2 linked regions of the Neodiprion lecontei genome follow. The protein of the gene in region 1 interacts with the protein of each later gene in a pairwise test. Links are inferred from orthologs where the notes say so. Each region holds a gene or a part of one and is shown in the gene's direction. Other genes may lie near its edges. The genes, in order: translation elongation factor 2 and ubiquitin-conjugating enzyme E2 variant 2.

Region 1 (5,007 bases):
ATGGATTGTTCAGTCCGACGAGCTGTCCTCGCCTCTTTGCTAGCCAGGGATGCCCGGCGGTTTGCTTGGGTGATGCGCGCATTCTTGTACTTAGCGGCGAAATCTGCGGCACTCGGCCCTATCGTGCATCCCATCGTGTCCAAAATTTTTAAAATTGGGTCGTAACCTTCATTGAAGGTGCACAAAGCACACTGCGTAGCGATTTCTACTATCTGCTTGCCGCAGAATACGTGCTTTGGGGCTAGTTGCCACACACAGTGATTGAAGCTCTCGTTATTGTTTTGAGTGTTCGCGCCCGGACATCGCTTTTTTTTTTTGAAAATTGAGTGCGACAAAAAAATAAGTCGCGCGACTAATTTACGGCTAATTAACGGCAAATTATGCAATAGTCCGAATTCACATTTTCGACAATTGGCGAGCCAAGTTCATGTACGTGCAGGTAGGAACGAGACAATAGAAATAACGGTCGCACGGGCAGCTGTAGCGCTCCGTTGCCTTCTTCCAAGAAATGCTTTACAGTAACCGAAATAATCTGAATTTCGGCATGAAAATTTCGGGGAATATTCGGTAGAGTGTATACTATTCGATATAGCAAAAAAAAAAAATCGATTTTTTGAAAATTTCACACTGGAAAGCTCCCTTAATACACACAACTGTGCACGGTGAAAAAGGAGAAGCAATATTAAAAAAAAAAAAATAACGAGGAAAAAAAAATTGAAAAATCATTAACGTAAGAGGATAAACAGCAATAGTAACTTCACGTAAAGTGTATATTGTATGCGTGCGCAATCATGCGAATTCGCAAAACTCGACGGGAATAAATCTTTACTATTTCCACCTTTTGAATGTGTTTAAGATATTTTGTTTTACCTCTGATTTTTTAAATTCAATCACAATTATATGAATATTTATTAACCGCTTATGTATACACGCATAATGTATTGATTTGAAAAAATATATAACATATATCTTTGCAGAAAAAAAATAATTTGTTTGAATAACTATTTGTTATTTCTTTAAGAATTCCTGACGTTATTTTGTGTAGGCTACAGATGAATATTTTTATTTTCAGCCGAAGGTGATTGCGATTTTATCGCAACATTTCATAGGATATGGGAAAATCATCTTAATTCGTTGAAGCCTTGTCGAACTTGTGGAAGAACCTTCAGAAATGACGCTTTGCTCAAACACGAACCGCACTGCAATGGCTCCTACTACAAAAAGAGGATCAGACGTTCTGTAGGAGTAAAAACAAGAAGGAAATGAAGATGAGATGCATATTACATTCATTTCAGTTCACTAATGCGATTATATACTTACAACTAATATCAGAATTTGAATATTTATGCTAGTACAATAGTACATAATACGTTGCAGACAAATATATGTAATCATGTTAATCGAAGACGATAAACGTTTATACTATATAAGAGAGTCGTAAGAATACAGGTTCCATTGAGATCATCCTGTACGTCGAAGCAAACCAAACATAGTAAATAGAGTTAAGAATATTGTTGCACAATATTACAAAACCTGGTGTGTTGCACGCAGATCATGCAGATTGACGAGTAAATGCAATGTAAGCAAAGCCGGAAGATAGTAATTGCGACGCGACGACGAGTGACGCATTAAACGTGAGACGAATATTTTTGGTTGGGTAGAGTCGGTTGTTGTTTGAAAAAAGAATAATAAAACTAGTGAGAAAAAAAACTAACATTAATTTATTTTTCTTATGTTAATTAATCGCGGATAACGCAACCCTAATCCTCCAATGATAGCATACAAGCTCATTTAGAGATTGGTTTGGTTGTTTCACAGCGTCAGCATCCGTCAGGTGGCAGCAGTTTTCCGACGCCGTTATATTTTTTGTGCATGCGTGAAAATCAGAGCTCTGATTGGTCGGATTTAGTGTGGAGAGTGTGTGTATTGCTACGCGCGCGCCATCTAGGACGTACGAACAGAGATAGTGACAGAGATAGCCCTCTTACTGCACTCTAGTCCGCTTGACTATTCTTTCCCAGGGAGTCCGCCGTTGTTGGCGCACGTATATTTCTGACCAGGCTAACGAAAATCGGACAACATCCAAAATGGTAAGTAGAATTTTAGCATGATAATGGATAAATCGAATTCCGCATGAATCGGAGAGTGAAATAACGTGTTTATTTTTTACACCCGAGCGTCGGGGAGTAATGAAAGAAATTAAAAACTCCAGGATTGCTCTGGATTGCGCAACCCTCCGAACGTCATTGCTTGAGAATGAATTACCATTCTCGACAAGGACCTATCCTAATAAGAATTACGCCGAACCCTCTTCCATATTCTTAACGGCTATATGCTTCCAAATTTCGTATGTCGAATCCGAACTGAACGATGCAAATCTGTAGAATATGTCGATCGCATCCCTCACAGACATTGCCCGACAACGTGTCACAAGCCAACATGACGATCCTCTTGCCATATTCACCAGTTTTCTCGAGTTTACATGCTCTCACAATATTGGCCGAGCCTTGCTTATACGCTTTATTAATTATAGCTTTTCCCACGGACTCTCCTACTTTTCGAAATTCTAGGCGATTAATTTACCAATATGGAAGAGAGAGTATCAATATTCCGGAAGAGAAATGAAAGTAGAAGCGGAAAAAATTTAACTGAAGCTACATATGGGTATATTTGTTTAATGGACGACCAACTACCAAACTTAATCATATCTATTCAGATACTAATCTTAGATTAGGATACCCGTCTCCAAATTAAACAATATGTTTGGAATCTTACTACGTAATATGTATTATATCTGACAAAAGCATACTAGGGATATCCAAGCTTTTCCAAATATTTGACCAAAGGAGGCAACCGTTGATAATTAACGGTTGTCTGGAAAATATTTTTAATCCTAACAGTTAGGATTGCAGTATGACCTTTAAACCAATTAGTTTTTATTTACTGTGGAAATATCTATTTATCTAATCATGCTTATGAACAGGCTAAGAAAACTCCTTCATTGTCCACTGACTACAGGCTATTTTCAATTTCATAATTTATTTTTTCTACCATAACTTTACATTGCTATGAGAAACATTTTGTTTTGTAATTACCTGAACAAAGTTGCCAATCATTACTAGCAGAGTTTAAATTAATTGAAAAATAAACTTGGCTTATGTGTATTTAAGAAAATTTATGATTATACTTTAGGTGAACTTCACGGTAGACGAGATCCGTGGGATGATGGACAAAAAGAAAAACATCCGAAACATGTCCGTCATCGCCCACGTCGATCACGGAAAGTCAACATTGACTGACTCCCTTGTTTCTAAGGCCGGTATTATTGCCGGTGCTAAAGCTGGTGAGACCCGATTCACAGACACTCGCAAAGATGAACAGGAACGTTGCATTACCATCAAATCAACGTGAGTATTTAGTTTATTTTTTCAAATATTGCTATTACAGCATTTGATAACAGAAAATGATTTATTTAAAAATTCGAATAGCTCAAATCTGCTACTGATATTACATTCATTTTACAATACTGTTCTTTAGTGCCATATCCATGTACTTTGAACTTGACGAGAAGGACTGCGTTTTCATCACGAATCCAGACCAACGTGACAAAGAAGAGAAAGGATTCTTGATTAATTTGATTGACTCTCCTGGGCACGTGGATTTCTCAAGTGAGGTAACGGCTGCTCTGCGTGTTACTGACGGAGCTCTTGTCGTCGTCGATTGTGTTTCTGGTAAGCTGGATTGTATATAATTTTCTGTACACCTTCCAGCACACCAGGGCAACTCTGTAGTGCGCCGAACAATTTTTCTTGAAAAGCTGTTCCGTGCACTTTGACAGTGTTTGCAGTGCATTTATGGAAGAAGATCAAATATGTCACTTTGTTTAAACGCTGTCAGTGGACCTCTATCTTTATGTCCGATACTGGCATGCTACGACCTTGTTCCTACAAAACAAATTAATTCCTTTGAATTGTGTTTGATAAAAATCACAATGACCAAGTTGTGTTGGATTTCAATTGGCTACTTTTCTGCAGGAGTGTGCGTACAGACCGAAACAGTACTTCGTCAAGCTATTGCCGAACGTATCAAGCCTGTATTGTTCATGAACAAAATGGACCGTGCTTTGCTTGAGCTGCAGTTGGAAAGTGAAGATTTGTACCAGACTTTCCAGCGTATTGTTGAAAATGTGAATGTCATCATTGCCACCTACTCAGACGACGATGGTCCCATGGGAGAAGTTCGTGTAAGTTATCCGTGCTGTGTGAAAAATACCCTAACAAATTCCACAATTCATCACCGTCAATTAATAATTTGTAGATTGAACCAATTAAAATATTAATTTTTCCTTTCTAAAGGTTGACCCTAGCAAGGGATCTGTGGGCTTCGGGTCTGGACTCCATGGATGGGCATTTACATTGAAACAGTTTTCCGAAATGTATGCTGAGAAATTCAAGATTGATGTTGTGAAACTGATGAATCGACTCTGGGGTGAATCCTTTTTCAACCCAAAGACCAAGAAGTGGAGCAAGCAAAAGGAAGCTGACAACAAGCGGTCCTTCTGCATGTATGTCCTTGATCCCATCTACAAGGTATTTCTAAAACATATTATGTATATTGTGTCTCAAGTTTATTGATTACTGAACGAAAGACAATGCATTGAAACAACAAAGTTTTCACTGTACTATCAATTGGTATTTCTAGAGTGTTATGCACATTTAGAATGCATTTTTATTCTTTTGTGTAGTCTAAAGTGACTAACAAACTGCAAGTATAATAGAGTATGTCAGTGTGATTCAGTTCTATGGCTATTTTAGTATTCGTTACACGAAGTACATGTTTACTTATGAAATATGTTTTTTTTTTTTTTTCAGGTATTCGACTGCATCATGAACTACAAGAAAGACGAAGCTGAGAGTCTATTGCAAAAGTTGGGCATCACTTTGAAGCCTGAAGACAAGGACAAGGATGGCAAGGCCCTCCTTAAGGTGAGCCTATCAACACTTCATA
Region 2 (4,996 bases), on another chromosome or scaffold:
TGATAGAGATATTTATTCGGTAGCTACGAGGTCGCTCAACAATAATATTTAACGGAATTAATTAATCAAAGAAATCACGCAGTCACGCGACGGTCTACAGCAACTCAGAGACGCGGACCATGATTCACAGAGAAACTGGCAAAACACGATGCAACCAAAATAGAGAATTAAGATATAAGAAAACAAGATACGAGCAACTTCGTAACGAAACAATACAACGGGAGAACCCTTACCTTAGCCGGTGACTCGGGCACGCATGCACTGATTTAAATTTAAATAAAATTTATCGATAGTAAGAAAAAAAAGGTAATAGAAAAGGAAAGGAGCTAAACGGTCATATAAAACGATAGAGAAACGGTAGCGATAGCAGTAAAGAAGAAGGAAAGGAAAATGAAGTGAAGGCAATTTCTACACGTAACGAGCGAGATAGAAAGAGTTATCTCAATCTCATGAGCGTAGAATAGATGGAGGTCGGGGTTTGGCTCGCCGTTCTCGCTGATGTCGTCAGGTAATCCTGCTTCCTGTAATTGGTCGTTTATTCCCCACTATAATTGGGTCATTCCTCCTGTGGCGAATATCAGTTGTAATTGTGTTACGCATCTTCAAAAATTACCGATAGATGACACGTAATGTTCCGCTCATGATTTCGTCGTTGATACCAGCTCTCACAAAATTTTCAGTTGCCGGCACCTTACCTTCCTAGTTGCCTATCGTTGGGGACCCTATGGCAAAAGCATGTGTGGAGCAAGGAGGATACCTCCCGGTCAAAGTTGCCGAATGGGGAGCAACAACTTGCAGTAACTCTCAACTTGGAGTGGTGGATTATGGCTCCATACTCCGTGATACAGTCACTATCGACAGGTACGCGGAATCGGTCCTCGGAGCGATGGCTCAACGCTGGAGCAGCGATCTTATATGTCGGTCCGGCGCCTGGCCGGGAAGTCCGGGAATGGCAGGCTGCGATCTGCCCTTTACGCTATTCTATACTCTTTAGGTATTCGCTTCGACCGGATTCGTCGTATAGGCAGTGGCGTTCTGTCCACGATATATCGGGCAGACCATGCGTCGTCACACGATGTCTGAATGCACTTAGGAGTGGTGCATTATGACTCACAAGGATTATGGTTCCTACATATAGGTTTGTAGCATCGGTTCCGAAGATTCTCGCAATGGCGGTAACCTGGAACAGTAATATTTATACTAAAAAGAGTACAATTTCGAAAATTTTCAGGTGAGTTGAAAAATTAACGACGGAGTCAGGAATCGAACTTGGTATCTAGAGATGCTTTACCGGAGACTTACTCCATTAGACCACCTAGCTGCCCTGACTACAATGTCATTAATTTCTCTCATCACCTATATTCGAGATTATTTTATTTTCGTGTGCTTTAGTCTCGACCGAGTGTAAAAAGTGTACACAAAGGCCGTGTTCGTAAATTGACTGACAGTACTGAAAATTCCCTAGGACAGAGTCAGAGCTATCCACGAACTTGGAAGCGCGAGAGAGATGAAAGATTGCTGACAGCAATGTCAGTCAATTTTCGAACACGACCAAAGTGTAACAAAAGTCTAGTGACATTTGTAAAACAAACAGCGCCATCCGACGTCACGTCCGCTAAAACAAACGCGCAAGTGTACACTCCCCACGAAAGTGTAGAAAGTGTAGCTAGCACGAACAAACCTAGTATCTAGTATCTGGAAATCATCGTGGAATGCTGTCAACGTCACAGGTGAGTGAAGTAATGCCATCTACAGTTCTGTAGCATCACCAATACATATGGACAAAATGTCGGCCCAGATAATGATTGTAAGCTCGCCTATCTCCACTTGCCACATAACCAACGTAATTAGACAACCTCCCGGAGGTTGCCCGAAGTTTTGCGACGTGAGTTTACTTTGAAATTGAGAGCTTGATTTTTGTCAGCCTCCGGTATAGGTAATGGAAGGTTTTGTCGTGAGATTATCGTAAGAAAAGCAATACTCAATATTACGTGGTTATATCGCTAAAATATTGCTGTACACCGTAGTAAAACCAACATTTATCAAGCCGCACAAATTTTGAGATCATGGCGGTACCCACGGCCGGTGTTGGTCAGTATTAATCGTGGTATTAACCACACGTATTTTCGTGATTCATTATTCATACTTGTACATTTTCAATGATCTCCCTGACCATTCTAGAGTCTCACGAACTATCCAATAATCATATTCCCACCTGAAACCAATTACTAATTCCACAATAATGAGTACTAGTCACCTGACAGATCACGTTTTTTCCCTGTCCCCTAATTGCATATCGTTCCTTAGTTCGTAAGTAACCATAGTCGAATGAAGAATATACATAATTTTGCATTTGCGTCTATTTGACGACCCCCTTTCTCATACTTTACCAGTTCAACCCGTCAAATTGTTTAGATCTGTCTTCTCTATGTGTCGTCGTAGTTGACGTATATCTCCGATGTCAAGAATCCACATCGTTGGTATCCACCAAAATGCATCAAACATCTTCCGCTCCATTACACATGTTTTCATTATTTTGTGGTCTTGTATCGTAAACTGCAAGCATTAGTGTTGTAACGTTACCTTTTAGTTGTTCCATATTTGGAAATAACCAAATGTCTTATTTCCTTGATCTTAATCACCGATTCTCCTTATACTTTTCTGATATGCTTTTTAATTTCAGACAAATGTTAGGTATTATCTGATATTTAAAATATGTTATTAACGACGTGCCTAACATTTTCATGTATTTTTGAGCTATAGAAAACGTAGTGGCACACAGTGGCCTTCCGTCCAGTTTTATTTTTTATGGATATGTTTGTTTTTGTATGAAACTAGATCAGAGTATAGGAAATGGCATGACCTAGTTCCCAGTATGCTTGACTAATTAAATTTTAATTGCATTACAATTTTGCACAATTATTTATCTAGCAACTAAGCTACAAATGCTACAATCTGTACCCACGTCATTTACCATCGACGATATCGTTTTCATTTATACAACATTGTCAATTCAACTGGTGGAGAATAATGTATAAAAATTTCTATATAATAAAAGTTGTCTAACTTTTAAATTATTCTAAGTTTCGTTTGTTTTAATTGTAATATAAGGCGGTAATTTGTACAGAGTTGTAAATGAAAAGCTCAATTGATCATGTAGAAACTAAAATAGTACAAACCATTAGAGCCTGTATATAACTGATTATCTTTCAGGATTAATTACTTGCAAATGACGCTATCAAATTCAGTAAAATTTATATATAGAACTAAATGTATCTTACTTAAACTTCTTCCAAAATTTTTAAGTCATTGTCTTATAAACGACTAAACATCCAATGATCTTGCAGACGCATTTCTTGTATCATCTACTTAAAAATCAATACAAATAAAAATCTCAAATGTTTTAAATGGTGCAATTGAAGTTAATCAATGTGAGTGTAATAAACACAATCGCCCCTAAGGGGCCTGAAGTTTCGAGGATTTATTAAAACAAATATACAACCAACTTTTCGACACCAACTTGCTTGACCAACTTTTAGAAAAATTATATCACATATTTTTCTATGTGTACTAATTTTGGAAAAAATTGTCTTACTAACTGAAGAAGTTTTGTAAAACAATTACCCTTGTATAAGCCCAGTATTATATACGTTATGAAAATGGTCAGAAATTGAGAAAATTTCATTTCGACACAAAAGAGTTTGAAAACTGGAAATTTAAATTACACCGAAAAAATCGATCAATCACGATCATCAACAGTTTCAGAAAGATAAAGTTTGAAGTTTAAAGTCAGAAGCTTAGAATTTTGTAAGACAACTTTAGAGTTGCTCGGTAACTAGAGCCAGTAATTTATCTTTAATGAACCATAGAGAATTCATTTTTTCATGAACAAAATGAACTATGTATGTATCATTTGAGATAAATAAATTTTACCATATGTTTTCTCCCTTATGTTGCAGCACAGCGAGTTATCTATAGTTAACCTTGTAACATGTCTTGCCGGATTATTAAGTAACTAAAACATCCGACAGCGTTGGTTAATAAGGTAAACAATAGGTATCTCGTTACTCTGCAACGTAAGCAACACAATGCTGAGTACGCTTTTGGTGGTGAAAAAACTATGGAGTTAGCAATTAGGTTATTCTAACTGACATTTGCTACATATTTCTATGTGAAAAATACGATTTCACTGAAATTCACCTCGATTAACTTTACTTGCATGTTTTTTACATGTTAAAAAAATAGCTATATTGTAACTTGAGAATTTCAAAAATACGATGTACAATGTGCTCTGACAATAGTGCCGCTTCCCCTATTTTGAGCTCGAGTGCTTCCCTCACTCATGGCCAAGCTCTTCGACTTTTACAAAAGTACCCTATGCTAAGTGCTTTGTGACAGTATTGAAAGAGAGTGATTGAAATGTTTTTGTCACTGCTTCACATCGAGAGTGAGGGTACTGCTTTTTTTCGCAAATTTATTCCCTATCACCGGTATTATTGAAACAGCAAGCTGTACTTGTTTCACAACTGCAGTGACTACATTTTTCTATAACTGAAAGTTAATGATTCACATTTGACCCTAGTCTTGTTATGTTGACTTAACACCAATTTCAACCCGATCTCGTTGTTCATAATTTTAGCTTCCAACTGTTTTTCTAATAAAACGATATACAACTTTGCGTAGTGTTACTGGAAATTCTTAAATATTCCCATGAAGATTTGTGAATATGTAGTGATGCTAAGATTTATTAATCCTCAGTTACATAAACACCAATAAGAGGATGTAAATATCTTACTGTGTAATGATTTACTGTAAATGTGAATTTGTCAGCCTCAACGAGCTATCGCCTTATGTTTCAGTTGTCCCTAGAAATTTCCGCTTACTCGAGGAGCTAGAACAAGGGCAAAAAGGTGTTGGCGATGGAACTATTAGTTGGGGTTTAGAGAACGACGATGATATGACCTTAACACATTGGACTGGAATGATAATTGGACCA

The links.
Region 2: the proteins of translation elongation factor 2 (region 1) and ubiquitin-conjugating enzyme E2 variant 2 interact in a two-hybrid assay, tested with the Caenorhabditis elegans proteins (2 studies listed by BioGRID). The link is inferred for Neodiprion lecontei from reciprocal best matches to the Caenorhabditis elegans genes eef-2 and uev-1.

The regions. Positions count from the first base shown.
Region 1 is NC_060260.1:38,939,613-38,944,619, forward strand, and holds the start of translation elongation factor 2, read left to right. Parts: upstream 1-1,935; 5' UTR 1,936-2,087; coding exon 2,088-2,090; intron 2,091-3,192; coding exon 3,193-3,407; intron 3,408-3,537; coding exon 3,538-3,731; intron 3,732-4,034; coding exon 4,035-4,243; intron 4,244-4,355; coding exon 4,356-4,589; intron 4,590-4,871; coding exon 4,872-4,985; intron 4,986-5,007. UniProt on the Caenorhabditis elegans protein: Catalyzes the GTP-dependent ribosomal translocation step during translation elongation.
Region 2 is NC_060261.1:26,288,374-26,293,369, reverse strand, and holds the start of ubiquitin-conjugating enzyme E2 variant 2, read left to right. Parts: upstream 1-1,836; 5' UTR 1,837-2,066; coding exon 2,067-2,091; intron 2,092-4,859; coding exon 4,860-4,996. UniProt on the Caenorhabditis elegans protein: Involved in protein ubiquitination, but has no ubiquitin ligase activity on its own. The uev-1-ubc-13 heterodimer catalyzes the synthesis of non-canonical poly-ubiquitin chains that are linked through Lys-63.